Linked DNA regions of Neodiprion lecontei. The protein of the gene in region 3 binds, or shares a complex with, the protein of the main gene of each other region. Links are inferred from orthologs where the notes say so. Each region holds a gene or a part of one and is shown on either strand. Other genes may lie near its edges.

Region 1 (9,525 bases), on a different chromosome or scaffold from region 3:
ATCGGTACCATGGTGGCCACTGGTTCCAATTTAACGCTTAAAGGAATTTATGAATCGTAAGTGAAACTTATTCCATTGATGTTATATTGCCAAATGCGAATTCTCATCAGGTTGAAGTCAGTAGCGTTATTTTAACAGTTGTTATTGAGGAAAATTGTTTGTTGCAAATTTATAACTGTCTGAAATTCAGTGAACCGTAGTAAAGCAAGCGAGGCATGGTCATATTTTATAAATTTGCATTTTTCAAAGTCGTTCTAAAGTTGCAAAATAGAGCATTTTCTTCCAGATGTTTCGTTGCTATCACGTAACTAACTTCAACCTTGTGAATATTCAAGGTTTCATTGGAAAACTATTTTGTTTGTAGCCGTTTTCCAGACAGCCCCGGAATCAATTTTTCTGATTGGATGTGTTACGCGATTCCGCCTATGCTTGTTTCCGGATTCTTAGTCTGGTTGTGGCTGCAAGTAATGTACATGGGAATGTTTAGACCAAACAGCAAAGACTCTCAGGCAATAAATATTGGTCCAGAGGGTGAAAAAGTTGCGAAAAGAATTATCGAACAAAAATACAGAGACCTAGGGCCGATCACGTGGCACGAATTATCTGTTGCCGTTTTATTCGTTTTCGTAATTCTTTTGTGGTTCTTCAGGAATCCCGGATTTGTTACAGGGTGGCCCGATTATATCACGGAGATGTAAGTGCCGTAGGAAATTTCTAAAAATCAGAAACTCACATTTCCTTGTATTTTGATACAGCTACGTATACTTGATATTCTATTATAAGTATTACGTGAGTAATGTTTCCTTTAATTTCATACTACAGGTCTGTTAAAGATTCTACCGCAGCAATGTTAGTCATAATCCTCATGTTTATACTTCCATCAAAATTGGAGTTTCTCAATGCATTCAGTAAGGATTCAAGCAAATATCCGACAAAGTCAAGTCAGGGTTTAATAACTTGGAAACTAATTCAAACAAAAATGCATTGGGGTTTGCTGTTCGTTCTTGGCGGTGGTTTTGCAATATCCCAGGGAAGTACCTCCTCGGGACTCTCGGATTTACTAGGGAACGCATTATCTGGCTTGGAGTCTCTACCCCCAGTAGCTACTTTATTTGTGATTTGTCTCATAATTCAAACGGTTACAGAGTTTACCGCCAACGTTGCTATTGCCAACATTGTGTTACCTGTAGTTGCCGAATTGGTAAGTGAAGAATCGTGACGAAACTTTCTATTTTTCAGTCTTAAAACACTACCGATTTATCAGGACTCTGGAAAGTTATTGCCGATGAATGAGATTATGACGTAACTCACTAACATTTAATTCTATCTCAGGTTAAACTTTAAGCTTGATAAACAATCGTTTCTTTTTCATGTTTACAGTGTGTAGCGATAAAGCTGCATCCGTTATATCTGATGCTACCAGCTACTTTTTGTTGCTCGTTTTCGTTCCACTTACCAGTTGGAACACCGCCAAATGCTATTGTAAGTGCTGCCGGGCATATAAAAACCAAAGATTTCATAGTAGCTGGTATTGGACCAACTCTAATCACGCTGATTGTGGTAACTGTTTCATTTCCGACCTGGGGAAATGTAATTTTCAACGCCAACGAATTCCCATCTTGGGCAGAATCGTAACTGTCGTCGAGGACAAACACGGTAGACATTACTTTTTTTTGCATAAAAGCTTGAGTAGACTGACGACTGTTGTGACTATTTAAGTTTTCTGACAAACGTTAATACCTGATTATTCTGTCGCGCACGCTCAGTGAGCCAAGTCGGGACGCGTTGCGTTATGTTTTCATCAAAAAGTTTGCATAAGCAAATTGTATGGTTCAACGATCTAGTTCGACAGCCTCGTAATTTGTTTATCCTGTTTGTATATCCAAATTAGAATTTTAAAGCAAGTTAATGTAGTTAGTAAGACCATAGCGCCAACTTCAATATCTAATATCCGATTACAGTCATGAATGACATATACAATTCCGGTTGTATGAAGGTACGCAGTGCATGTTCACAATATATTACTTTTACTTCACTCCATTAAGCGTGGAACCCCAGGATAATACATTTATGTATTCAATACCTGATCGGACTTGTCCTGACCGGTCTCTGGATTAGATTTGAAATACATCTGTTCAAAAAGGGAGGAGTAAATTGGGATGTCAAAGCACCTAAAAAGCTTAAAGCAAACATTAAATGTAATATTGCAGAAGCTTTTTTGGTAGACGTAATGTATCTAATTAGAAATAAGTATTTCTACATCCACTTAAAATAAATCCAACTACTGGGGTAGGAAACACGTAGCGTTTATCACCTTTTATACGTGTCGAACTCTAGATTAGTGCAGGTACATATACGCAAGATGTTTGTCTGCACCAGAAAGACTAAATTCTTCGTTCCATGAAACTCTACTATAGTTTCGAATCGCCCATCACAGTTTATAGGGTATTTATATGATATACTTTTCGATTGTGAAAGAACCGAGAAAGGTTTCCTAATATAAATCACGTACAATGTAGTTCTTAACGGTAACGTAACCGAACGTTGAAAAAAATTTAAGTTAGACGTTCGACTTCGTGTGTAATAGCTTCATTTTGACACTCGTATGACAAAAAGATAACAGTTTTAGTATTCGTCACAACAGGTAGAAAATAAATTTAAGAAATTTTTGAATGAAAATAATAAGTATTGAAACTTACCAGACCATGATTTAAAAAGATTGTAAGAACGAAATGATTAGAATAAATTATCAAAGCAAAGGACAAAGGCCAATCATCATTTATTGCGTATAAACTGAACAAAAAGGGATTGATATTAAGAAGAAAATTTAATTCGTAAATATTTTAAAGACCAACGCCTTTTCTTTCATACTTGAAATTGTTTTTTTTTTTATAACATGCTAATAATTTGTTGACTCAGTTCAATGCGTTCAGAAAAGTTGTAGAATAGGATTTTCCACTATTCCAATCAATGGCAGATGCAGACTGAAAGAATGAAATGAAATCCAGGTGAATGATTTGCGTTACAAGCTGGTATACAGACTAGTTTGCAGGTATTACTCAAGTTTCAGGTTCAAGAAATCATGAAATTGAATAAATGTTAACCGTCTAGCAACAGCTACTTCTGTCTAATGGAAATAGTAAAGTGCACCTGTGTACTCGGTGCTTATGTATGTGGTTGTCTAAAAAATGCAAGTATTTGATTTCACAATTCACAATTCTGCCTGCCCAGCTATTAATATTGTCAGATGAAGGCTACAAGTAATTTTACATTAATCTCATTTAATGATGCAGTAATAATATACTATTCAGTACAGAGACTAAAAAAAAGAATATTTTGTACTAGATTTTTTTCACTTGTTACAGTTTCCTTCCTAATGCAAGATAACCCACTCTACCGTGAATGAAAAAAAGTGAACACTATATTATGAAGAATATCATTATTGGTGTGAACATGTGACCGAAGTGGAGTTGCATTGGAGTCATAAATTACTGGTAAGAATTATTTCTGCTTCCGTAAACTGTTGCATGAGTTTGAAAAAATTCTTCTGTTCCATAGTTTTTATAGTACTGTGTTTAGTTCAATCTGATCAAATGTGCCTGCTCTATATATAATTACAACAGTGCTAATATGTTGGAGTGACCTGGAGAACTATTACAATTTTCTTTAATTGGCGCCATCTCAGCAGTCACTAGGTAATTAGAATTTTAGGCATTGCGGTTATATAGTGTCAATGCTTAGGGCATAGAGAAATGGAGAATTCCTGGTATACACTTTCGTGTAAGTGGAAAATGGCATAGAAAGGAAAGTAGTAAGACTAGTTCCTTTCTTTGTCTAATGCACACGTAGAAAGAAAGAGCATCTAGTCTTATTACGTTCCGTTCTCTCTCCGACTCGAATACTTTTTCGACATCGACGCTTTCTGCATGTTTGTAATCTGCTCTAGGTGCCAGTAGCAGAGCAATAGAATAAGCCCGTCGAGCGATTATATCGGAGTTGAATTATGCTGAGGGTACGTTCCATATCCGTACAATTAATTATAGAGCGAGTAATTCTCACAAGCAGGGTGAAAATGAGACGCATGATCTTACCATCTGAAGGCGTATCGTATCCTACGGATCCCGAATTATCACTCATTGTTATCAAAGCTTCAATGAATAGATTTCGACTTGGAGCGGTGTACAGATAACCTATAAATGTATGTAATCAGATTTTAACTAATTGATTGATAGAGCTGGGCATTTTTTGACTTGTTAATTATCGTTAAAATAGAAATGCAGATATTCAGGAGCTCTAATTTATGCCCAGAAATACTTAAATGAGTGTTTTCCTTAGATTCACGTACAATTGACTAGTCCATCATGCGAATACACAACCTAACACAACACTCAACAACACCGTAAACCTAGTTACCCACTGATGAAGCAGAGGTAAGCAGACTGCACTTGGTGACTTTTTATTCTAAGAGTTGGCACACATTCACTGGTGCTAACACTGATATACCTATAAAGGTCTGCCTATAACACATCCGTGGTGCAAAATGAAAACACCTCGAAATATTGCTAATTGCCATTTTAGGATGTCACATTACGAAGTTTTATAATATAAATTTTATGATACGTTCAGATCATTAAATCTCAAGACAGCGCCTATCACGTCTGCTTTATCGATAAGTTGTCGCCCGTGAAACCTTGTAGCTCAAATAAACGTACCGACTGAGTGATATAATCTGAACGCGGCATTAAGCCTTGGTGCGTTGACTGCAGAATATACAACGCTTGATGTAATAAGGTTCGATTCGTCGCAGCTCAATTGCACTTTTACGTTATAATGCGTCATGTGATGTTGTCAACGCACTATTTAATTCACTCGGTGTAATTGCATTCATATTGCGAAAAACGAACGCAAGCATAAACGGTATATAATAATATTTTCGGTGAACGTATTATTTGCTAAGAATGTCAGATCGAAACGAATATTTTTTTTTTAATAGTATGGAACAAAGTCAATCACATCGGAGTTATGGTTCAATTAACTGTAAAGATGTCTTTTAACATATTATAATAGAAATCCGCAGTTATATTCAAATCTAATGGATATCAATGTCCACACGTACCATTCTAGGAAAACGGATATTCTGTTTGCGATTCGCGAGAAAATATACTTTAGACCTAGACAGAGTATCTAACTTCGCTGTGTAGTCTTCATACCAATTATTTAATTATGCGATCTCACCGAGAAGTGAATATTTTAATGTTTAACGACTACGATACAGACGTTGCCACCAATAATGACGCAATCAATGATCGTTAAGTGGTGATAAAACAGGAAAACCGAAAATAACGCGTATTGCTGTTTGATGTAAACGCAATAGCTACAATATCTTATTCAAAACATACTCACCATTGCTGATTACAGATCATTGATAGTTCAATTGAGAAATCTACATTCTGATAAATAGTTCACAAGCTGCATTGACAAAGTAATTGCACTGATCTGCGTTTTATAAAAGTACGCCGCTTTGATACGTGAAATGAATTTTTATTGAAGTTAGTAAGTTCAATAACAGAAATTGAATGTGGTTAACTACATTTAGGCAAGTTGTTTTTGATGCATATCGTAATCAAATTCCGGATGTGGTAAAAATATTGCGTTTTATCCGACAACGTAAATGAAGTCGTAACATGCTGCACGGTGCGTACTAAGTGGATAATGTATGGGCACTCATTTGTGCGATGATTTGTCCTTGGGAATAAATAGTCGGCCTTGTAACTTTTTCTGAGATATGCAAAGTATCGTTTTACAAATCTTAAGTTTAATATGGCATCAGCATAAAATCAATTGACAATCCACATTCGCAGTACACTTTAGACACATAAATGATAGAAGCTACATGAAATTCGATTCTTCAATTCGTCGAAGATAATTACTCGCAATGTTAAGTGCATCAATCGGAATAGGTGTTTTTTTGAGCATGCGACACGTAAGATAATTATGATACAGCGGTTGAAGCGAAGTAATGCCGCTTGTTCACGTATACCATTAACATAGTTCGAAGAATATATGCACATGATAAATAAAATACGATGCAAAGATTGATAATGCGAAGGAAAAATTGTGCATGAATCTCTCGCATGTCAGACGAATCGTTTATCAAGAAGACGGACGTCCAATCTATCATCTCCAGTATTCTACTAATTGCAATTTGTACAAAGAATTACTTCGATTAACTACAATATATACTAATAGGCTATTAGCGATATATTACATAAGTAGATATTATACGGATGCCTCTTCGCAGATTGGACGGGCACAAAATGCTCTGCATCTTCGGTTGTACTACGCAGCGAATTAAATTTTCCACGAAAATATTTGATTATGCTTGATTGGTTATAGGGCTAAACTGATGCCCTCACTTTAGGCTTGGGACAAAATGTTCATGCATTCTCTGAATAACGGCATGTTCTGATATATAAAACAACACGTTCAGCTTGTAAGACAAAATATAAACGGCTAAAGAGTATTGATTCAGTAATGATACCTTGAAGAAAAAACTGCAGCCAACCGCAAACCAACCGGTTTTCAGCTGGAACTTAGTATACATAGCCATCGCCAAAAAAGTGGAATCATTGGTTAGAAACCTCGCTGTTCTTGAACTTTATAAAACTCGATACCTAATGGTCAGTTTCATGAAGTGAAAATTAGCCTGTCGAAACATTGAAAACTCCTCAGCATAACTGTCCTCTATCTGTAAGAGTTTAGTCAGCGTTCGCATAAGTGTAATAGCCTGTCCTGACTTGGCTTACAAATATCCCTTATATCTTCAAAACTATTGATCTGTTTGTAACGAAATATGGCCTATAAAACCCGAGCAGACGCCGTAGCTGTACAAAGAAAAAAAAAAGAATTAATATCGGTTCAGCAGTTCTGGAGTTATAAGATAACATCCGAAGAGACAGTCAGAAAGACATTGAATTTTATACTTATATATACCTTTGTAGAGATGAGAAGAGATTAATTTTTGTGAGGACCATTTTCAGAAAACTATTATGTTAAGATATTCAAGTAACAATCCACACATCCTGCCATTTCGACCAGAAGTTACAATTAGCCACTGCATCGTTCGAGCAGGGCTCAGACATTTTATCACGCATTTTATCGCAAATCAGAATTTTCGCAATCAGAATATTAACTTATATAGATTACACAATATCTTACATTGCGGTAAAATGAAAAAAATATCTCATCCTCCAATCGTACGTTGACAACGAGCTTGTTCAATCCATCCCCATTTAACGACAAGGACGTAGTCGTTGCAATGACGACGTGCCAGTTCATATGAAACCGAACATTTGATTGCTCGAAGAAATCAAAGATTGATTCAATCCAAGTTAAGACGCAGGCTGCGATCGCTATTGCGGTTCCCTCAACTTTTCCCGGTACAGTTAACCGACTTGTGAATATTTTGGAAGCGTTTGATTTTGAGGTGTTTGTGTTTAAATTAAAGTTGGTCGTTCAAGTGGTGGGGATTGTTTCCGAATAGATAATAGTAACTCTGAAGAAGTAGGCGATCAGTGGTTTCATAGTGACACTATTGATAGTACGTGGGGTGATCATCGAGTGACGGTTTCCCGAATCACTGATGTCGCTTGATGTTATACTGTTACATAAAAGCAGAGGTTTGATGATAAGCAGGCTCTGGATACGTAAGATCAAGTTACACAATAAGTAGCAAACAAAATGAGAATTTACAGAAAGTGTAATCTCATACGTATATTGTAGGCAACATTGAGAACAATCCCATCATACAGCGTCTTTAGAATAAAACAAAATTCTTGAAATAGCTGTTTGTACGGTAATCTGACTTGCTGCTTGGGTATGTTTTGGGAAAGATTTAGGAAAAATGATTTGTGTTTATCTGTATGAACAATATGTCATATAAATTTCGTGGGTATTACTTGCTGCAAATAGCCATGAATCAACAATTCGTGAATATGTAGCGTGCAAGTCTTTTCTTATTTTCGTACACCATATCCCGTATCAATCTTTTGCTTCTTTATACTGATTTAAACCTCGTGAATCCAGTAATCTGCGTGCCGATGCGGTCAAAGTCAGTGGGGAGGTGTATCAAGGTTGAATTCCGTAAGCGACAACAAATGGTCGAAAGTAAAAAAACGAATAAATCGCCAGATCTGAAACATGAGTCCTTTCTCGTATCGCCCCACCTTCTGACGTCGCTACGATATCAGTTTATAAATAATCGAGTCAACTGAATTTCTTCGTTCGGTGATTGGATATTTGAATGTAACGCAATCATGTCGAACTTGAGGCCAAGGTGAAGTGTGTCAACGCATAGCACGTCGATTAATTTTTAATACAGTGAATTAGGTCAAATTTTTTTGCATTCACAAGAACTTGTTCGCGACTGCAGCATCGTCGTATTAGTTTTGTCCTTTTTCGGTATTCATTCCGAATTCTCTTCTTGCTGTAAGAAGGAAGTAGGTATATAGCTTGCTGTTTGGCCCTTTTTTGTCCACTAACAATAAGGGATCAGAATTTACAAATCTGAAGTCAACTTACGTATAGAGGAATTGATTGACATCCGCTGTGAATGGCTGGGTCGATTGGTCAATTCTTCAACTGCGAGTAGAGCATGGAGAAACTGGACAATAGCTGATAAAATCATATCTTATCGGCTATAATCAGTATGCCGATGTTATATGAATATATGATGCATGTCATATATATTGTATATTGATTTTGACATTCAAATGAACACCTTTGATATGCAGTATATGATGCATATCAAAGGTGTTGATCTGAATGTGTCGATCTGTGGAAATAATCCCCAAAGATAACCCTGACCAAGTGTGGAAACAGAAATTGTTAAAAATCTATTCTTCTGCTAACAGTGTTTCATTGAGAATGACCTTGAATTTCATAGTTGAGAATGTATATGTCTGCTTAGAGAAACGCTACGATAAAAAAATCAAACATTTTGTTAATGCAAAATTGATTGGGTGAAGGATACACAAAACACGATCGCGTCGCTCGTCTAACTTGACATGAAAGATTCGTTGAATATGGTAAGATAGCACGGAGCTCTGTTGATATTTATTCTGTGGAGTTGGAGGTTAAAGTTCAACTGCAACCACATTCATACGTTACTTGTATCTCAGCCGAAGAGCAGATAAGCACCCATAATAACAAGCACTTTTCCGTGTCGGCGGTAAGCCGTGTAAAAGTTTCCGATACTTTGTCTTTGCAAAGACAGATTAGAAAACATATTCCCAACTATGCTGTTGTTTAAAAACATCGTCTATATAGTCTGATTTCAATTATGTCGGTTTGTTTTCCGAACCGAAGGTGAGCGGAATTGGCTTATAAAAAAACAGCAACACTCAAGCCGACAGTAAATCACGATATTGCCTTATTATTCCGTGTACAAATTTGCATTCCCATCGCGGTTTCATTCGTATATTAACAACGCAACGCCTCGAGTCTGGCTGAAATCGAAAACATATT
Region 2 (9,864 bases), on a different chromosome or scaffold from region 3:
TCAATACAAGATACTAAGGATAGATTTCAACAATATACGTATCGTACGCAATGTACTACAATTGGAAAAGAAATGCTGAAATCATAGCGAAAATGCATGATTGAAGAATTTGAATTTCAACTTACTTTTCAATTCCCGACCTTCCGCAGTGCAGGGTCCTTCTTCCATCAAGCAGCGTATATAATTGGTGAGAATACGATCATTGCTTAGGATTCTGTCGACGTCTACGTTGTCGTATTTGCTTGAATAATTATTAGCGAAGACGAACGTAAATAAAGTTAAAAAAATCACGCCCCCCTTCATTTTGTCGCGTAATCGCCGACCATAAACAGTATAATTCAAACCGCGACTAGTTACGCTACTATTCGAATGAAGCGTGACTAGATCACAGACGTAAAACAGAAAACGTGGGATACGCGGTTGCGAAATCTACAATTTTGACGCGCTGCGTTGACTCTAACCAAAGTGGAGGCACCCAAGTGCGATATTTCTGCGGGGGCCCCCTTTTATATGATACGACGAGTACGACGACGTCTGGGTCGGGTGGAGGTGAGGAAGGCGGCATAGTAAGATACTGCAGCCAGTGTTCGTTCCACCGCTGCATCGCGGATTCAACTTTTTCACCACTTTTCTCCTTTTTGTTGTTTCGAAGACTGCAGATATCCATATCTTCCACGAACCGGGAGCATGGTACGCGCGATGCTCGATGTAACAGACTAAAAATCACGCAAAACCGCAAATTATTACGGAAATGCCGTAGCCACATAGCACAGACTCGTACCCTTTTTTTAAGGGCCGACGAATTTCTCTTTCGCGACTATTTTCACCTCCGTATACGTTTTGTGAGAGTTTACGAAGTTGTACCGTTTTTACGACGTGACATTTTAATAATTTGCTTATACATTATTTGTATTACTACTGTTATTGTTATTATTATTATTTTACCAAGAAACAAATTATTTTTTTCCAAAAGTGATTCACAGTAAGAATAATAATACAGTCAACATCATTTACTTATCGATGAAAATGACGTCCGTCACACTCGGTGACTGGATCACAATATTTAAAAATCATGATATAATTTTTACTACGAGGTACGATTGATTAACTTTTAGAGGACCGACATTTTTACCTTGGAATACGATATTTCTTAAAGGCATAAATTATGTATACAAATATTCAACACGACCTGTCGAGTTGCCGAATTACCTGCTGGCTCCTTTTGGGGACATTTCGGCCCTTTAAATGTTGAAGTATATTAGTTGCATAGCCACTTCAACATACTCTGATACTTCTGCAGAGTTGCGTAATTGAAAACTTGCTGCACCGTCTGAAACGCACTGTCGTTCTATATTGTATTTTCATATTGTGGTGTTCGTATATAAGACGTTTAAGCAAAAATAACATACCGAAATATCAGCAGATATGCGTACACGGAACTATTACATGGAGTTAAGAACGACTTTGTATTCATGTAGACATAGCAGCCAAAAGAATGCGAGTGCAGAAACGAAGCGCGGTATCTTCATAATTTTCAAACTGTAGAACAATGAAAATTCAATCATAGATTACAGTCGAAGCTTTTTTTGAAAATTTTGGAACTTTTATATCGAGCTCTTCTTCGTATCTCTATAACCGTGAACTCCGCAACATTTTCCCTGTCCAAGTAACTTCGCTAACTGAAAAAACAAAGTGCTCCCGTGAGGACAAATTGCCTTATCAGAGTTGCGGAAAAGGATGCTCGGGCAGTCGGAAGTTTCGAAATTATTTGTAATATGCGGATGAAATGTTCATAGCAAATTGCTGTAATATACAAGTGGGAAAATCCGTTTCGTATGCATATACTTCATGAAAAAAAAACTCAAGCGCATGACGAAATGGCATGCATAACTATACGTATACCCACGCGTACGGAGAAAGTGATTCGAAGAAGCTGCTTTATGTCTACGGAATATCAGGTAGCCGGGCAATATTTACGCAAGAACGTGCGTTGCGTGTATCAGGTTTTCCGTTACCGTCTTGATAATGTTTTTTCTTTTATTAATTAATCTAATTACTAAAGGCTGGGATTTAGGTATGAATACAGATAAAATTTTACTTGAACTTTAACTCACACATGCTTGTGTTCAGAATGTTCCTCATCTTCAATGGATCGCAGATTATACATTGATATTAAAATTTCACCCGCCAACGTTACGTGAGAGTAATTTTTAATCTTTGACTAAAGTGGGGATATACCACCTTGGAGTTCCAACTGTGAACCACTGCTTATTATGCGCGTTGTTGATACACAGAGGAGTGACGCAAAGTATGGATTTGGCGGGAAGGAAAGAAATAATAATTTGTTGCGCTAATGTTGGTGAATTATATTTTTAATCGTTCGTGAATCATGACACTGGATTTTGTTGTTACCCAAGCAGAGGGGATATTTTCGCCGCAATAAATTCATTGTGAATTCTCAACTAAAACTTGTGAACGTCGTAATTGACGTTACGCATTCAATTTTCAAATGAATGCTTATATGTTTAGTTCCATCTTCTTTAGAGTGCGTCCCGATTTTTCACCTCCAATCGGCATTACAATCTGGACACGGAATGTATGTGTAAGAATACATCCAATGGAGTTTATTCGAGTAAAAGTTTGCCAGTATTTCCGTGGATTTCTCTCGACAACCCGTGTCGCAAAGAAAATTCTCGTTTGACGCTGGCAAAGAGAACATCGGTAACTAAAAATATTTGGGCGATAGCAAAGGCTAGCGTGACACCGAAGTAAAAGTTCGCATTTGCTGATCGTGAATAAATCCACAGGTGCCAAACTGTTGGAGCAAACACTGTGCAGGACAAAAGGAAGCAGCTGACAATGAATCCTTGCTGCATATCTGGAGAAAATAAAATTGACGCATTAGTTTCGGAAAAATATACATAAATTGGGACAAATATGAAGGGATAAATAATTACGAGACAGTAATAGTAGATTATTGACTTACGCGGAAAGAGATGCTTCCACATTGGTAGTAGAGCCATATAAAATCCTACTTCTCCTAAACATGGGTACGATTTGAAAATAGCCGCGATTGCGAGATACGAGAAGGCCAGGAGCATAGGATCGCGGCGAAATCGTAGCGCGAGAGGAGCAACGTAGAGCAGGCCTACGTTTATTTGAAATGATGCAACAAATAGCCACCTAAAGTGTTCAAACATTTCTGTGAAGAAGTACCAGTACAGGCCGATGTTTGGCCGCAGATCAGGTACTGTTAAAATGAAACCAATTGTACTGTGCAAAAATGACCAGCTCCCTGATACTTTGTAGGAGAGGTAATATAACGCAATGAGAATACCAATGAACATCGCTATTGTCTTATTAATATTTCCGTAGGGGAAATTTTTATTTTTACCTTCTTCGTTTCGCGCCAAGTATATTGTGGCAGGTACCATAAGAGTAATGGGATAAAGTCCTTGCAATGTTAAAACAGCTATAGTGAAACAACTACATAATCTCGATTTGTTTATCATAGAATATAGAGCCGCGGATAGCAGAAAGTTCGTAAAAACGGTTGTGGTTAATCCTACACAATTAAAAACTACGTATGGGTTGAAAAGGTAAGCTGAAGGTACGAGTAAAGCGGAAGACGTAACACTGGATGCTGGTATTGACATTGATGAAGGTAAAGTTGATAATTCTTCGTCATTGGATTCCTTTTTGCGTTTCTGGATGTCTTTTTGTTCGGTGGCAATCTACAGGAAATTGGTTGAATGTTGGTTTATGGCTATGTTTTAGTAGATGTAGTACATTTGCAGTCTCGTCTTCTACTTCATTATAAAATAGATCCTATTATCATTATTGAATCAACTCACTAGTTCACTCGTGTAACGATAAGCAGTCGCACCCAAAATCCATGCCGTGGCCAAATCCGTGAAGACAAATATGCCACATAACATACACAATGACAAGTACTTTTGCATATAACTGAAGACGACAAGGCCTATGGGACTTTCATGAAACAGATCACCGGTGTAAGGATCGATACCAGCTTCTCGTAGGTAGACTCCCTCGGTAACTGGTAACAATATAAGAACGATCATACTTAGTGAGCAAAAGACAGCAAAAACATTGGAAACGCTCACCTTTTTTCCATGAGTTAAGTGCTGTGGATACTTCGACTCTGTCAGCGATGATCTTTTGATATTCGGAATATATTAATAGCAACCTTATCGTTGCCGCCAAAGCGAAAAATACAAATTTTTGAGTAGTACTCATTATAATTGGTGGCAACCACACCCTAACCTGTACGTCTTACAACACTTGACGTTTATCAGTTTCAATCTACTGTTAAAAAGTTTAATTCATTATTTAGCAACTCTATCAAACGGACATTTTTAGCCTTCATTTTTCATAACCTGAGCCGCTATTAATGCACATAAACATTAAGCCGCAATAGAGCCATAGAGAATATCGTCTTGTATAAATGGAGCTCGATGCAATTTGCTCAAACTATATACCACAGCTATAGGGTCGACTCACAGCGTCTAATAGTGCTGACGACAGCAACGACGATAGGCCGAAGTGTTGAGATTTGATCAGCTTTTAGTACAAGGTTTGCCCACTTTGGCCACAGATATACCTATTTACTATGGGTGCTAGCTAGGCCAGTTCTTTTTCGTAATGGTTTGCCGGGTCTGGAGGTAACGTACCAAATAAGACGAAAATCAAATTGTAAAACCCACAAGAATTAATAAACTAGACTAAAGTCAACTAACCTCGTTGCATTTTCCTCTACAAAATTGTGCAGATTTAAAAAAAATCTGAAAAAGAAAACGAATGCGAATAGTTTATAGTTAGGAATAATGGATTAAAAGATAGAGCGGGAAGATGATTTTAGATGGATTTCGTCGGTTTTTCTTCGTATTTGCTTACAATTAGCTGCTGGTCTTCGTACTTTCTAGATATCTTTATTGAATTCCTTAGGAACCAACGAGTGAGAAAAGGGTCCTGTAAGTCGAACCTGAGGTAAATTACTCTAAAAATCGCAAAAAAGGAAGGCTAACCCTTTTATTTTTTCGCGAGAAATGCACTCTCGCAAGTAATTCGAATGCGTTAAACTTCGTGACATATGTATAAATATACGCAATTCCAACTGATTCCAAATCCAGTTAACTATATCCAAATACATGTCGCTGTATTTTTCATTTCATAAATTTGAAGCACTTTTGATATAAAAAGTCTAGGTGTCCTGAGCACTTGTATGTATACGAATACCATGCATGTTTTTAATTTCTTCCTTCAGAATCTATAAGCAAACATGAAACACAAGGATTATACTGAATTTGCACACGTCAAATATTAATAACTATTATAATTGCTGAATATTGCAAAGTAGTAATCAAATGAGTTCATACTTCATTGATAACCCGATGCTGCTTAACTGTGTTGAGTCCTCTGAATTCTGGGGCAACCACATTTACTTCAAACATCGCGCCACACCCTCCTATGTGAATCAGGAAAATAATAGTTACATTGTTAATTTATATACATTAATAGTACATTGGTTAATTTTGCAAGGTAACATTCGACACTCTAATATTATTTTTGTGTGTGCAGCATAATATATTATCCTCTTTTAGCGAAACTATGTTATTAAACAGTAGAAAACATGTACAATAACAATGTAATAATAATTTCTGTGATTGTAAATCAGATTCATTGGTAGATACCCACCAGATACATCTGTAACTTCAATGAGGCTCGCTTTGGGAAACTTATCTCTGAGAATAGTGACCATCTTCTGTTCAGCTTGCTTGCCGGCTAGTGCTCCGTTCGGTCCACTCCAAACTCGTGACAGAAGCTGGAACACTTTCGCTTTATTCATTTTTCTCTAATTCAAATGACGTGCTTGTACTAGCAGTCTTAGCATGGAGGCGTCGGAACAGAGAGATTTCGATAAATGGTTGGAGAGGATATTGGAAAATTTTGAGGAGTTGATTACAAGTTTGCAGTAATTAAATAAGCAGTTTTCCATCAAGGTTCGTCGAAGGCATGGAAGTACAAGGCGTTTCTTAGCTTGTTTATACATTGAAGTTTTGAAGATTTTCGATGAGCCAATGCTGCAAATTAAATTTTTTACGTACCGATATGTTACGAAAGTTTTTTGGTATCACACGTCCGAACATAGCTGGGTCCTATTTTCAGAATTTTGCAAATTTCACCTGGCGTGTGCTATCACCAATCAATTCCGATGTTCAATCGTCCGTTTCAGCGCAACATTCGTGCTTGACTATCAATTATATTGATTACTATTCACAGGGCGAATCGCAAATTTCTGTTTGAGGTTACAATCCGGCAAGTTCTTCATTCAATGTCTTCTATCCTTCTTGCTCTCTAGTCTCTACTCTCTAGCCACTGAAACATGCCCTAACTAGACGAGCACAAACTCATCTCGAGTGCGCCACTTTGCGGTGACCTTGAGTCATCCCCACCTTCAATCTACAGTCACCTACAACTATAAATCTTTGTCTCAAATCCATCGAATAAGAAACAATCCTAATATAATCATCGTTATCTCTCTCGGCACGCTCTGCTCTATAGGAAAGCAAAATCGTCACAAGTTTCACCGCAAATTCACAGGAATTAGCTGTACTTTTTTGAGCATAATATTTTCAGATTCAGAATTGATTTGCTTGACACAATTCTAGACTATGTAGAACCCCAGAAACGCAGAAAATATAGCAAGAAGAGCATTGGACCAACAGCACGGAAATTACGAAGACAATCTTTCATTTTTTTGTTGTAACTTTTCATCCGTAGCTTGCAGCGTGTACGGACTGTGAGCAATGGATTCCTACAGCAAAATTACGCCGATATAGTGCATCAAAGTGATCCAATATCTTTGAAAATCATCTAAACTTTCAGCAAAAATTCAAAGGGCTTTTTAATGGGGTTAAAGGGGTTAGGCTTACATTTTTTACGAGTTTTTTGGCAAAAGACTTTTCATCTCTGAATCTATATATACTTGGGTGGTGGTAAAAACTTGGAAGAGTCAATATTTCGAATGGTGGATATACTGAGATTTCAAACATGCAAAAATCAAGATTTTGAACAATTCATCATTCGTTATTTTATTTTCACGTGGTTGAAATTTCTATATATTGGCCATTCGAAGTATTGACTTTTCCAAGTTTTGACTCCCACCCATTTATACGATTCTTTCTAGACTAATCGGACTTCTAGGATTCCAAAATGGCGTTCTAACCGTCGTGGGACCAACAGTTGTCAAAATGAGAACAGAATATGAGAAAATTCAATTATTTATTTATTTCAATTCCGTTACATGAAATAGTAAAAATATAATTTACTAGCTACGATAATGACAATCTGATACAATATTTTTCATATTCTGCTTGAGATAAGGTATTGCACTTTTTTATCCTGTTATAATAATCAAAATTATTATACAATGTTCGATCATACTTTTACATTTTTTATTGTCTTATATTTTTATACTATTACGTAACTTGTTAAGTAACTATATTCATTGATTCATAAATATTTGTACTAGAAGTAAGGCATATTGAATAAACAGCTGACACTTAATAGCTATAAATTTGTTTTCTCTGATTTTTTTTCTCCACCTTTTCTAACACCCTGCGCAAATTTCATGTCTGGCCATCCTCTTCATCCATTGCTGAAAGGGAAAAAGCCTTGCTTTTTGTTGCTTCCTTTGAAACTCAGGAATTTTGCCACCTGGAATCAATTTGTACGACTCATTAGGACTAATTGGACCCTTAGAAATGCAAAGAGGATATCTAAAACAGAATTAGACCAGCTCAAGAAATACTAGAAAATCTCCACGGTTTTCGGCCACTCATCATCCATTGTTCGGAGGAGCGTTCGGACGGCGCCCAATCGATTCCTCTCGCAAAATTACGTCGGAATAGTGCATGAAAGAATTTATTCCAGCTCTTTTCAAAATCACGAATATTTTGAGCCAAAAATGCAGAGGGGTTAGCCTTACTTTTTTTTTGGCCAAGAAATCTTTTGTCCCAGAATCGATTTGTAAGACCCTCTCTCGACTAATTGGACCCCTAGGATCGCAGAAAACACACCAAAAAGAGCGTCGGACCAACGGCAGGAAAGATACGCAGGAAAGATCAGCAGCAAAAAAATGACGATGCAGAGTCTTTGATTTTTTGGCTGCATCTATTGATGCGTTGCTCGTATCCTATTCGGACTGCGCCCAATCGATTTCTTTCGCAAAATTACGTCGGAATAGTGCCATAAATAATTTATTCCAGCACTTTTCAAAATCGCGAAAATTTTCGCCGAAAAAGCAAAGGGGTTAGCCTTACTTTTTTTTTGGGCAACAAATCTTTTGTCCCAGAACCGATTTGTATGACCCTTATCCGACTAATTGGTCCCTCAGGATCGCAGAAAACGCAGCGCAAAGACCGTAGAACCAACGGCAGAAAAGATACGCAGGAAAGATCAGCAGCAAAAAAATGACGATGCAGAGTCTTTGATTTTTTGGCTGCATCTATTGATGCGTTGCTCGTATCCTATTCGGACTGCGCCCAATCGATTTCTCACACCAAATATCGTCGGAATAGTGCCACAAAGATCTCATTTCAGCACTTTTCAAAATCCCGAAAATTTTCGCCGAAAAAGCAAAGGGGTTAGCCTTACTTTTTTTTTGGGCAAAAAATCTTTTGTCCCAGAATCGATTTGTATGACCCTCTCTCGACTAATTGGACCCCTAGGATCGCAAAAAACACACCAAAAAGAGCGTCGGACCAACGGCAGAAAAGATACGCAGGAAAGATCAGCAGCAAAAAAATGACGATGCAGAGTCTTTGATTTTTTGGCTGCATCTATTGATGCGTTGCTCGTATCGTATTCGGACTGCGCCCAATCGATTTCTCACACCAAATATCGTCGGAATAGTGCCACAAAGATCTCATTTCAGCACTTTTCAAAATCCCGAAAATTTTCGCCGAAAAAGCAAAGGGGTTAGCCTTACTTTTTTTTTGGGCAAAAAATCTTTTGTCCCAGAATCGATTTGTATGACCCTCTCTCGACTAATTGGACCCCTAGGATCGCAAAAAACACACCAAAAAGAGCGTCGGACCAACGGCAGAAAAGATACGCAGGAAAGATCAGCAGCAAAAAAATGACGATGCAGAGTCTTTGATTTTTTGGCTGCATCTATTGATGCGTTGCTCGTATCGTATTCGGACTGCGCCCAATCGATTTCTCACACAAAATATCGTCGGAATAGTGCTAAAAAGATCTTATTTCAGTACTTTTCAAAATCCCGAAAATTTTCGCCGAAACAGCAAAGGGGTTAGCCTTACTTTTTTTTTGGGCAAAAAATCTTTTGTCCCAGAATCGATTTGTATGACCCTCTCTCGACTAATTGGACCCCTAGGATCGCAAAAAACACACCAAAAAGAGCGTCGGACCAACGGCAGAAAAGATACGCAGGAAAGATCAGCAGCAAAAAAATGACGATGCAGAGTCTTTGATTTTTTGGCTGCATCTATTGATGCGTTGCTCGTATCGTATTCGGACTGCGCCCAATCGATTTCTCACACAAAATATCGTCGGAATAGTGCTACAAAGATCTTATTTCAGTACTTTTCAAAATCCCGAAAATTTTCGCCGAAACAGCAAAGGGGTTAGCCTTACTTTTTTTTTGGGCAAAAAATCTTTTGTCCCAGAATCGATTTGTATGACCCTTATCCGACTAATTGGTCCCTCAGGATCGCAGAAAACGCAGCGCAAAGAGCGTAGAACCAACGGCAGAGAAATTACGACGGAAAGAGCACCAGCTGAAAAATGTCAAAATCGCAGATTCTGGTTTTTTGGCTGTAA
Region 3 (10,698 bases):
GTTTCAGCTAACCAAACCTTTTATCTGTTTCAGCTAATCAAACTTTTCTGTCTTTTTCAGCTAATCAAACTTTTTGTCTGTTTCAGTTAATCAAACCTTTTGTCTGTTTCAGCTAATCAACCCCTTTTCTCTCTCAGCTAATCAAACTTTCTGTCTTTTTCAGGTAATCAAACCGGTTGTCTTTTTTAGTTAACCAAACCTTTTGTCTGTTTCAGCTAATCAAACTTTTCTGTCTTTTTCAGCTTATCAAACTTTTTGTCTGTTTCAGTTAATCAAACCTTTTGTCTGTTTCAGCTAATCAACCCTTTTTCTCTTTCAGCTAATCAAACTTTCTGTCTTTTTCAGATAATCAAACCTTTTGTCTGTTTCAGCTAATCAAACTTTTAGTCTGTTTCAGTTAATAAAACCTTTTGTCTGTTTCAGCTATTCAAACCTTTTTCTGTTTCAGTTAATCAAACCTTTTGTCTGTTTCAGCTAACCAAACCTTTTTCTGTTTCAGCTAATCAAACTGTCTATCTCTTTTAGCTAATCAAACGTTTTGTCTGTTTCAGTTAATCAAACCTTTTGTCTGTTTTAGCTAACCAAACCTTTTGTCTGTTTTAGCTAACCAAACCTTTTGTCTGTTTTAGCTAACCAAACCTTTTGTCTGTTTCAGCTAATCAAACTTTTTATCTGTTTCAGCCAATCAAACCTTTTGTTTGTTTCAGTCAATCAAACCTTCTGTTTCTTTTAACTAATTAATTTGTCTCTTTTTCGTTAATTATATATTTTACTTATCTGAGCGAAGTATATTTTTGTCTGTATCGACATATGTCACGAATTATATTGTCATCTGTTGCAGGTAACTGAGTTTCATTTACTATACTGAAAAATTAACGAATTATTTTTTAGGCTTAGGTCTGGTTCGAGTCTGATTCAGGATTACTCATCTTGTTTTCACCGACGCATAGATTTAGTGATGTGGTTAAGAATCATCATGATCACAAAGTCTGGTAAAATTTATTCAACTGTAGTTTCTTTCATGGTTTTAGTCTTTAATTGCGATTGTTTAGTGTCGGAGTTTTTTTTCTCGAGTCGCTCATAGGTCATGTTCGGTTTGGTACTTCACTGTAGAATTATACAGCTCTGTCGTATTTTGGTGGTTGTGCTTATTCTACTCCGATTTGTTTCCATTTCTTCAAGGATTTTTGCATCGTCTTCCGATAGGTAAATGCCAATGTCTTACAGCGATTCGTGTTTTCGATCTTGGTTTACTTTTTGATTGTTTTGCGTATTCACCATGTTCTCCACTTTAGTGATTATCTCATACCTCATAAGAAAAAAAACTTGTGCGCGAATATCCAAAGTCAATCACCGTTCACTTATAAGATAAAAACAATCACCCTTCATCTATAACTAAAACAATCATCTTTCATCCATAATTATAACAGTCATCTTTCATCGATAATAATTAGTTAGCGGGTTATATGAACTGAAAAATTTCTAACAAACTGCAAATATAGGCGAGTACAAATTGACTGGGGAAAACAATGTACCATAATTAACATGTGAAAAAACGTTATCTTCAATTTTTCTAAGAACGTAAGATCGATCTTGCAAGTATTCTCCGTGGAGTAGGCCTACTGGGGATACCACGTAAAAAAAAAACGCGCCGGGTGCTCTACCGCTTGCGGTGGTGTGGAAATGAGCATAAGTGAACTTATTTTCACTGGTCAAATATTAATATATTGTAGTTTTTCAAATGAAAATTTTATTCTTGCGTAAATTTAACTCATTGTCAATACAACTCATGCTTCGACAATGTGTAACGCGTGTGGAATCGTAATACCTTCGGATTTCTCTAGTTTAGTCAGTGAATTCCACGTAAATACCTTTTTCTTTTGATAAATTTCGTTTCTTAATTAAAGTCAACAAGGTGCACATACCTTTGGCAATTTAGAGTATGGTAATTCCAGCATTTTTCTCCCCAAATTCACCTTTTGCAGTTGATACAAGTCGTTACAATAAAACACAATATTTCCATACCAAATGAGCACGTCTTCCGCGACAAACGATCAAGAATAAAAAAACGAAGCTCATTCAAAACCGGCTACTAAAAATGACAAAAAGGACCGTGTTGAAATTTTGTACGTTCAAGATACCGGTAATCTGTATGAAAAACCTATTGTTCCAAATGGAATACAGTTAGAAATTAACTGCCATCTTCGCTTTTGAATCTATATTGTAGAAAAATGTTTTTAAATTTTTATGACAAATTTGTATACTTGGTTGATTTCTAGATTACTTAACCAAATCTACTGTTAAATACATTTTTCAAAACCTCATTACTTTCACATATATAAACAGAAAGGCAACTAATATGATAACTTGCATTTTATAATATTATTAATTGGTTTTAGACTCAATGAAAATGCATTTTATAATATTATTAATTGGTTTTAGACTCAATGAAAAACCACAAAAATGTGTTGTCACATTATGCATATAAATTTATTACTTCCGACTGAAAGGAAATGATGCGTCAAGAACACAAATCACAAATCAGTTAAAATAAAAAATATGACTCTGAGTGGGAAAGATTTTCAACGGGTGATTATTGAATTATTGTTACTTACAATGTAATTGTGAATAAAATAGTGTGTACAAAAGGTTGTACTGAGTAAGATAATACATAATACGAGTATGCTATACATAATTTTCTTATACCCCGCAGATACTTGCCTAGGAAACTGTGAAGGCCGCACTTTCAGAGGATACATTCGTAAAATGCGAAAAAAATGATGCATCAATAACTAAACGTTTTACGCATAAGTAATCAGGAATACATATTCTCTCAAACTCGAAATTCCTAACAATCAACACAGGCACTGCCGTAAATTTATAATAAAGTGAACAGATATGAGTAATTATAATCAGGGCACTTGATAATAAATTTTTGAACAATCTTGTGTTTGGGGGTTAGCGGGCAGAGTCGCAATCTAACCAAATAATATGAGTAGAAGTTGAAAAAAGGAACCTTGATCTTCTTTAAATTTTTTTCAATTGCTTTTGTGATAATGATTGCCTGAAGTTCATTAGGGTTTGTTACAGCATAGATTCAAACATTAATAACAATCGAGTCCTACCTAATTTACAAAAAATATTTACAAGTAGTATTTTTGTGTAGAAAGGTCTGGGTTTTCCTCTGCAAATACACTGTATTTAAAAAAAACACGGAAATCTAACGTCAGTTAAGAGCTTATTTTTATATGTCAGCTGTATTTTCTTTGGGAACGAAGATATGAGCGTTGACTGAAGATACACGAGTTAAGTAGTAAACATAGGTATGTACATAAATTACATACGGTACATATAGGAATAAATATATATCTCCATCCTTTGATTAACTTCTTTGATTCTGGCTCCCATCCTTTGCATCAAGAAAAGGTTTCTAACGCTGTTAACCGTAAACCAGGTGCATATTTATTGTACATTTATTTAGATGATATTATTTTTGTTAATCGGATGGAGTTTATTTGACATGACCGAGCAATTGATCAACGACCAATCAAATGCTTAGAAAGAGACAAAACATCGGCCGCGTGTGTTTCCTTCTCTCTCCTTTTTGGCGCTGCCACAAGCAGTACCAGTGAGTGCGCAGTCTATGCTCTATATTTTACGGCTATGCTAATACTAATAACTAATAAGGAAAATGACGCAGAGGGAGGTACGCGGGGTGTGTAAGTGTACCCAGTAAAACAATTATTTTGAAATAAACTTCCACAATTATGTATGCAAGTCATTAGTCAGCGGCAGTGAGTCCTGACTGGTGGAAAGACGATTCGAGCGATTTAAGTGCGATTAACTGGTGGAGGTTATGCGCATAGCCGTATATCCGAAGTGCGAAAAGTTTTTAACCTCGATTTGCGAATGGGCGAAGGGTTGCTTAAAAGTAATCCAATTGCAGTTACAATCGTGCGCGAAAATGCGAACTGCGTTTGCGATGTACTTTATACAGGCGTTGATATTGAGTGCCATAGGAGATGTCGGATTCGTTTCCTGTACTTCCGACGTAGATGATGCCTTCAACGAGGAGCTTATGCTGAAGCCCTTGCCAAGCGGACACGTCTACGCACATTTTCAATTTACTACCCTGTGGCGGACTGACATTGAGACTGAAACCTGTATGTACTACGTATAATCCGTACATACGTTCTTCTATATCAGTGTAGATGCATGGCCAAACGTCATAACCTGGAAAACGGCGGTACTAAGGTGAGGTCGGAGTGCTGACCAGATGAGTTAATCGTATTTTACAATTTTCTTCCCTCTTGAATAAAAAAATCTTTGGGAAATAATAGCGTGCACTATTGTGCTTGGGTGATGATTTGAGTAAGTTCGAAAAATTGACGCAAACACTGAACATAACCAGATTTTCACTCACTTTGAGGTTATGGTGTACTGATATCCGAATCCCATGGTTTGCGCACTTCTAGATCAATTTTCGAATTTTTTTTGTCCCAATACACAAATACGATCGCAAACACTGTCATTCCCCAACATTTGAAGTATTTTCCTTGCTCGTGAGAGAATAGCGTTCTGAAATTAGATTTTCTCACTTTGTTGGTACTTTAACCTCGCTTTAAGTTTGACACTCTATTGTTTCATTATTTGCTCATTCTTTGTTTGATCGCTCTATTCTTGAATGCAATTGATCTATCGAATTGCATACATCTTTCTGTATACAGTCCAACATTCTCGGCTATTTCCTCGTGGGTTAGGGGAAATAATCGGCCGGCACAATGTCAGAGAACTTCACGTCAGTTTGACTGAAGGATTATGGCGTTACGAGAAATGGGGATATCCTCTTCAAGATACCGGTTCTGGCGCCGAGGTTTATGCCTGGTTCAACGACGACCGAAGGTACAATAACTTACTATTATCTACCCTAACGACAATCACTCAACAACCTTGACATTTCAAAGAGTTCTCATCTTCTTTTCATCGATTGCCTTTCCTTGGGAAATTTGTATTAGTACCATATTTGATGATAATATACTCGATATTCTTGCTCTTAGGATCGATGAGAATTGGAAAAGCTTGACTAATGCTCTTGCGGGTTTGCTGTGCGCGTCGCTCAATTTTGTGGATGTGTCCAACAGCTTGTCACCTGATTTTACCTTTCGACCCAGCGGTGCTATTCCAAGACCGCTAAACTCTAGCTGTCTTCGATATTCTTCGCTGCCAAGAGAAATAGTTTGCACAGAAAACTTGACACCATTTAAAAAATTACTACCGTGCGACTCTAAGGTATGAACAAGAAAAAATACTCTGACAATATTTAACTAACGTCGAAATCACAATATTTTATCATTTTCGTCTTTGCTCGTATAAACAAAAAATTTTAAACCTATTCAACATAGTTTTATCCCTTAGAAAGGATTGGCTACTCTCTTGAATTCAGCATATATCCATAACACTAATTACCACTCGATAGCTGTTGATGTACGACCTGTATGTACCAATGCAGCATGCACGCAAACTACCATTGAACTGCGGCAAACAATTTCATTGGTCTACGACACTATGACAACTGATTCGCAGGTATGTACATATGGCATCGAATAGCAGGCACATTTTTATGAAAAACTCATTTTGGTTGAATCTTATTCTTTTGTATCATTCTTGATCCTACAAAATGAAATAGACTGAACCTTATCTATGAATTACCAAGTTAAAAATGCTGGATCCAACGTGATATTGGAATCCTGAAATAATTTTTGGTTCACAAAATAATATGAACATGGCCAATACTTTCTGACCTGCAGGACTGGTCGGTGCGAAAGCTTTTCGGCATTGGACTCCGAAGCGCTTGTCCATTGGCCACCCTGAGCCGTGTATATGTAGATGTAACCGATAATGAGACATCTGAAACTTATCGGCTAGTGCCTGAGCCACCGGAGACTCTAATCAGCTTACGAGGAGGACAAGAAAATAGAATAGCTGTGTACGATATTAAATCTTTGTCCAATGCCGGGATGTTCAATGTCGCTGCTGTCCACAGCAAAGCCAAAATTTATGGAGTCGAAATTCCACCGGTGCTCTTTGCAAACAGATATGTAGTAGGTGTGTCTGTGTTTATACTGTAATGGACTTGATCTTTATTAAACTGTAGTATTATGAAATGGACGGTCATTGTTCTTGACATAGCAGGATCTGAATAACTCGTGACAAAACGCTGTTCTCAGGCTATGGTCAAGAAAGAGGCGGCCTGGTGACAAAACTCCATAATAATTACTGGAAGCCATTGGATGTCGTGCTCCTGGAGAACATTCCATGGTACATACCGGTCTACACTCATACCATAAGGATCACCTGCCAGGGGAAATTACTCAAGCCTCGTATGTCTAGATTTCTGCGAGTATCGTTTGTTCCCATCTCCATTCTGTAAATAATTTTTTCTAATCCTTGGTTCGTGAATTTTGCTCGTGGTTTCAGTAATCAAGCGATACGTGCCTGGTAGAGAAAGGGAACGTCCTTACTACCTCGAAATGGTTCTGCGACTTCCGCCGCGTTCTGTAACAGAGTTTTCAATAGAATTAGACTATCTTTTTCTCAAGTGGCAAGAATACCCTCCGGACGCTAATCACGGGTTCTACATGGGCCCTGCAATAATAACCTCTCTTCTCCCAACTGCGAGAAATTACACCGCTCTACCTCAGGACGGAAGTACTATTTCATCCAGGTAAGGAAACAATGATCGATCAATTATTGAACAATATTCCGTTAAGCTTCGAGGACCAGGAGGTAAGAAGAGCATTACCATTTAGGGTGGCCACTGAGATGTTAAACCTGGCAAATTGAGTAATTTTTTTTTTTAAACTGGTCAGCACGGGATGTTATTCTGAAACATCCGAAGCTGTTTCCTGATTGGTCAATGCAGCAAATATAATACAACCTAAAGCCATCATTATTGTGTGGTTGCAGTTTCAATGCATCTCGGGACGGTTACCTGGTCCAATTACGGACTGAGATTCTACTTGTCAGTCTGCCAACGCCTGACTTTAGTATGCCTTATAATGTTATTTGTCTGGCTTGTACGGCCGTGGCACTGGCTTTCGGACCCCTCCACAACATAACAACAAAGAGGCTTGTTCTCAAGCCATCTAAGAAAAATAAACTAGTTTCTTACATCAGAGAGAAACTCTCCAAAACAAAGGTAGATAAGATAGAGTAGATATGCAAAGTTCTCTTCAGTCATATTTGCTATTCGCTCCAAAAAAGAATACTCCGTACACACTATTGGATCTGTCGCAAAGGCCTTGGCGACATAATATCATGAGTTGTAAAAATAAAAACTTGAAGCAATTAGGTAAATAAATCAAACAATCGATTATCTGGTATTTCTTACATAAAATGTTGGCATATTTCATTTCTGTAAATGCAAACCTTTTGAAACACCAATATACCTCTGTAACGCAAGACGGAAAAAATTCAGAACTCGGCAAATTTGGAACGAATCTGTGAGGCACAGTAGAGAACACAAATATAACATATAGTTAGATTTTATTGTGAACAATTCCGATACTAATCTCATTGTATACATATAATATACAATTGGGTACGTGACAAAAACGAAAAGATAAATGGACGGCTTAAAAAGTTATTCGAATATCTCGAATTGCATGGTATTATAGTATATTACTTACTTTGGTTATTTTTAATCGTAATTGCTATAATTTAATCTTGAAAAGTATTAGGTACAATTATAATGGAATTGTATAACGTACGGACAACTTGATAAATAATCAGAAGAAGTAGAAGGATGACTTTGCAAACATAATGACAAACAGTAGAGCAGGCGACGAGAGGTGGTACATGGTGCACGCACTCCCCCTCGAACCGTCGTTTTCGTTTTTCTGATTGTCCAAGACCCCTACACAAACATTACCGCAATCTTCGCCATCGCAGATATCGCACAGCGTAGCCTTCTGCGGTTCATAAAACACTCTCGCGCGTCGACCTGAAGTTCAAAACAGATATATTAAGCATTTTGTAGGTTGTTCCCTCTCAGAATGCGATATTCTCCCACAAATTGCTGATAATAGTAAGAATATATGCAAAATGCTGTCTTACTTGAGTCGTAGTAGTCATAAATTGAGACTGGAACAGGCTTCTGTTTGGCAACCTTGTGAGTCCTGAACGCGGACACTGTCGGGCAATACTCCTCTCTTATCATCTGCGAATTGTTTTTTACTAAGTTATACTCTTGTAATGGATATATATAATAGTACATTGGTCTGAACTATACAGATTCTGCACGTTCGTCTTTTTCTCACCTAATTAATGACTTGCAAATCGCTTACCTTGTCAAAATACAAGACTACCATAGTTTCTCCATTTTTGGTCTCGACTCGTTTAACATGCTGCGATATTTCCAAGCTCGGGAGGGAGTCAATGTCGACAGTGAATCCCGACGGTAGACTGACTTCCATTACAGCCATGTTGCTTTCGTTTGCTTCTTTTGTAGGGACGAATCTGGTTGAAGGGGATAGTGAAAGTAATTAATTTTACTCTAATGGCTATCGTTTTGCTAATGCTACTTTTGGCATTGTACGTCAGACATTTTGTCGTACCCAGAGCAAATTGAAAGCTGCAAGTGATTAGCATTTGAATTTTTATCCACTTGAGGGTCGAGGGTGAATAGGGGCCATGCACCGGTCACATTCAGATTGTAGCTGTACGATACTTGAATTATTGCAAATCCAGTGCCGGTAGCCGTCAGGTTCACCTCTCTAGTTTTCCTGGGCAACTAAACGAGACATGGGATGTGGTCAAAAATCTAGTCCCATATTTCCCAAGTAAAAAAAGGGTGTGACCAAAAAATATACCATATGCTTCTGAAGAATCATATTATTGCCTGGGTTGATATTGATATTGCTTTGACCTCCGTCTTCGTAGACAAACGATATGGCAATGTTGCTGTTCTTGGATGATATTTTTTCACTCAACTTAGATAGCGCATAAATTCCGATTACCGTGTCCTGCAAATAAGGGTGAGCCATCCAATAAGCGAAATGTGCAATTTTCTATGTACTATCGACTTGAAAAATCCTTGTTTTCTCCATGAAAGTGGATGATAGCTCTTTCACAGTTCTCACCAGACATTTTTTTATTGCATGAACACTAAGTTATTCCATGTTCATTTTGTTTAACTATAGACCTATGTATCTGGAATTAGCATTTTTCACGTCGATGATAGATGAAAGAGAAATATTGCAACTTGCAAAATCGTATCGCGAACCTGTGTTGAGGCGAATCCTCCATCTGCGTTTCTCTGACTCACGAGCCACTTCATTATGGGTAGTGAATCGGCGACCATGTTTCGTCTGAGGTACGTAAGCAATGCATATGAAGTCATCTCAACATCTACGGAACTTGGTAACGAATACCAAGGATTCTTGTTGTCCTCTGGGATTGGTTTACTCCACCACATGTAATCCCCGCTTTGTTTGGCTTTTGATTCCAATCGATTAAATGCTGTGTCTTCGTAAGGATTCTTGGCTAAGTTTAAAACGTAGGTGCAGAGACAAAGTGAATATACATCATCGAGCCCTTCGAGATTCCGCACAATATAATCGACTCCCTTGTTTACGACATTGCTGTATTCCTCAAAATAATCCTGCAGGTGAAACACACAGTGTTAAATTTTTTTTTTGTAACTTTTCTAGTAGGTAAGGCTGTCGGTCATTATCGATCTTACCTGATTTTCAAGGAAGGCTACCAAAGTGAATGCAGTCAAAGCCAAGCCTTTAGATGCGCCGCCTTGCATGTCGCGATGACTCACTTTTCCTACCTCAGGAAAGCTGCCGTTTGGTGATTGGTTGGTGGTGAGCCACTGAAGCGCTTCCTTTATAATTCGATCTTCTATCATAATGTGTTCTGCAGCCTGGGCAAATGACTTTGCCACAAATGCGGTCAGCCTACAACGGAATAAAATTGGTAATACAAATTGGATTGCGACTCCTGTTTCAGGGCAGATGTCTGTTAGCTATATCGCTACTCACCATGTGCTGCCACTGTGATCCGAGGTTCCAAATGCGCTAAAAGATCCGTCCTCGTGACGATAAGTCAACTCTTGCTGGTAACCAATTTCCATATATTTGAGTGCTTTTGCTTTAACTGCTTGCGTGAGTTGATCGGTGTTCTATAATAATGAATTACAGTCCAGATAAAAATAACGAATAATATCAACATGGATAAGGAATATTATTATAGAATTACACACCTTCAGATAGTTAATCACCACTATATTGGGGACAAAGTTGAGCATGTTCTGTTCTCCACATCCAAATGGCATTTTGATTAAATTCGCCAGATTCGGTATACTGGGTCCGAGAATATCCCCTGAGAATAAAGATCGTAGTGTTAGCTGGGCGGTTTATTCCTCTACCTGCTTTCAATTCTCGCAAGCTTCAAATCCCTGGCAATATCTTACCGACGGCAGAAATTTCCACATGCTCAGAGCCCACTACAGCATTTCTTGGTATATCTACCGTCAAGTTGGTTTCAAATGTTTTTGCGTTTCGCAGATCAACAAATATAGCCTTGTTCCGATACTGAGTTTCTCCTTCAGACTGAAAATCCATAAAGCTAATGAACCTTGGAAATATATGTAAAAGATTTTATTTTACCATTTTCTAATAAAATATTTTTGAT

Evidence for each region.
Region 1: the proteins of GPI transamidase component PIG-T (region 3) and GPI transamidase component PIG-S are in contact, whole or in part, in a cryo-EM structure (PDB 8IMY), measured with the Homo sapiens proteins. The link is inferred for Neodiprion lecontei from reciprocal best matches to the Homo sapiens genes PIGT and PIGS. Residues at the interface, in NP_057021.2 of Homo sapiens: Pro26, Arg27, Val63, Ser64, His65, Tyr66, Arg67, Lys71, Gln75, Lys79, Tyr80, Val133, Gly136, Lys191, Leu193, Pro194, Cys195, Ser196, Lys198, Ala199, Glu270, Pro271, Pro273, Leu274, Tyr526, Ile529, Cys530, Cys533, Val536, Ala537; in NP_149975.1 of Homo sapiens: Thr9, Glu12, Val13, Gly16, Ala19, Ala20, Phe23, Thr230, Pro238, Lys239, Tyr244, Ile247, Glu248, Val251, Gln256, Val270, Asp271, Ser272, Gln273, Ile274, Tyr276, Tyr277, Met279, Ser309, Arg310, Ser313, Ser314, Ala315, Ala316, Phe513.
Region 2: the proteins of GPI transamidase component PIG-T (region 3) and phosphatidylinositol glycan anchor biosynthesis class U protein are in contact, whole or in part, in a cryo-EM structure (PDB 8IMX), measured with the Homo sapiens proteins. The link is inferred for Neodiprion lecontei from reciprocal best matches to the Homo sapiens genes PIGT and PIGU. Residues at the interface, in NP_057021.2 of Homo sapiens: Tyr361, Gly362, Leu363, Gln364, Lys365, Arg394, Leu395, Tyr396, Val397, His398, Tyr416, Pro418, Ala419, Gln420, Asp421, Arg422, Gln445, Glu447, Leu450, Leu451, Lys452, Trp453, Thr454, Pro518, Thr519, Pro520, Asp521, Phe522, Ser523, Met524; in NP_536724.1 of Homo sapiens: Glu30, Lys42, Arg43, Val45, Glu46, Ser49, Leu50, Leu53, Val55, Ser59, Gly60, Ala61, Val62, Pro265, Asp266, Leu267, Pro269, Leu273, Trp275, Tyr276, Phe277, Phe278, Ala279, Glu280, Met281, Phe282, Glu283, Phe289, Phe293, Asn296.

Annotation. Positions count from the first base shown.
Region 1 is NC_060262.1:30,732,154-30,741,678, reverse strand, and holds the start of GPI transamidase component PIG-S, read right to left. Parts: upstream 4,716-9,525; 5' UTR 4,346-4,715; intron 4,191-4,345; 5' UTR 4,138-4,190; coding exon 4,092-4,137; intron 2,926-4,091; exon of another isoform or gene 1,636-2,925; coding exon of another isoform or gene 1,381-1,635; intron 1,202-1,380; coding exon of another isoform or gene 823-1,201; intron 695-822; coding exon of another isoform or gene 365-694; intron 57-364; coding exon of another isoform or gene 1-56. Other genes in the region: protein I'm not dead yet-like, read left to right, coding at 1-56, 365-694, 823-1,201, 1,381-1,635. UniProt on the Homo sapiens protein: Component of the glycosylphosphatidylinositol-anchor (GPI-anchor) transamidase (GPI-T) complex that catalyzes the formation of the linkage between a proprotein and a GPI-anchor and participates in GPI anchored protein biosynthesis.
Region 2 is NC_060260.1:40,146,132-40,155,995, forward strand, and holds phosphatidylinositol glycan anchor biosynthesis class U protein, read right to left. Parts: upstream 5,486-9,864; 5' UTR 5,397-5,485; intron 5,319-5,396; 5' UTR 4,258-5,318; coding exon 4,125-4,257; intron 4,058-4,124; coding exon 3,855-4,057; intron 3,735-3,854; coding exon 2,987-3,734; intron 2,879-2,986; coding exon 2,625-2,878; 3' UTR 2,352-2,624; downstream 1-2,351. Other genes in the region: ejaculatory bulb-specific protein 3, read right to left, coding at 126-303; uncharacterized protein LOC124293564, read right to left, coding at 386-716, 1,210-1,232. UniProt on the Homo sapiens protein: Component of the glycosylphosphatidylinositol-anchor (GPI-anchor) transamidase (GPI-T) complex that catalyzes the formation of the linkage between a proprotein and a GPI-anchor and participates in GPI anchored protein biosynthesis.
Region 3 is NC_060264.1:23,623,868-23,634,565, forward strand, and holds GPI transamidase component PIG-T, read left to right. Parts: upstream 1-3,698; 5' UTR 3,699-3,856; coding exon 3,857-4,163; intron 4,164-4,727; coding exon 4,728-4,902; intron 4,903-5,057; coding exon 5,058-5,289; intron 5,290-5,415; coding exon 5,416-5,583; intron 5,584-5,807; coding exon 5,808-6,105; intron 6,106-6,227; coding exon 6,228-6,380; intron 6,381-6,477; coding exon 6,478-6,724; intron 6,725-6,966; coding exon 6,967-7,216; 3' UTR 7,217-7,396; downstream 7,397-10,698. Other genes in the region: CD109 antigen, read right to left, coding at 7,788-8,002, 8,116-8,218, 8,346-8,517, 8,616-8,791, 8,871-9,023, 9,284-9,661, 9,743-9,962, 10,047-10,186 and 2 more. UniProt on the Homo sapiens protein: Component of the glycosylphosphatidylinositol-anchor (GPI-anchor) transamidase (GPI-T) complex that catalyzes the formation of the linkage between a proprotein and a GPI-anchor and participates in GPI anchored protein biosynthesis.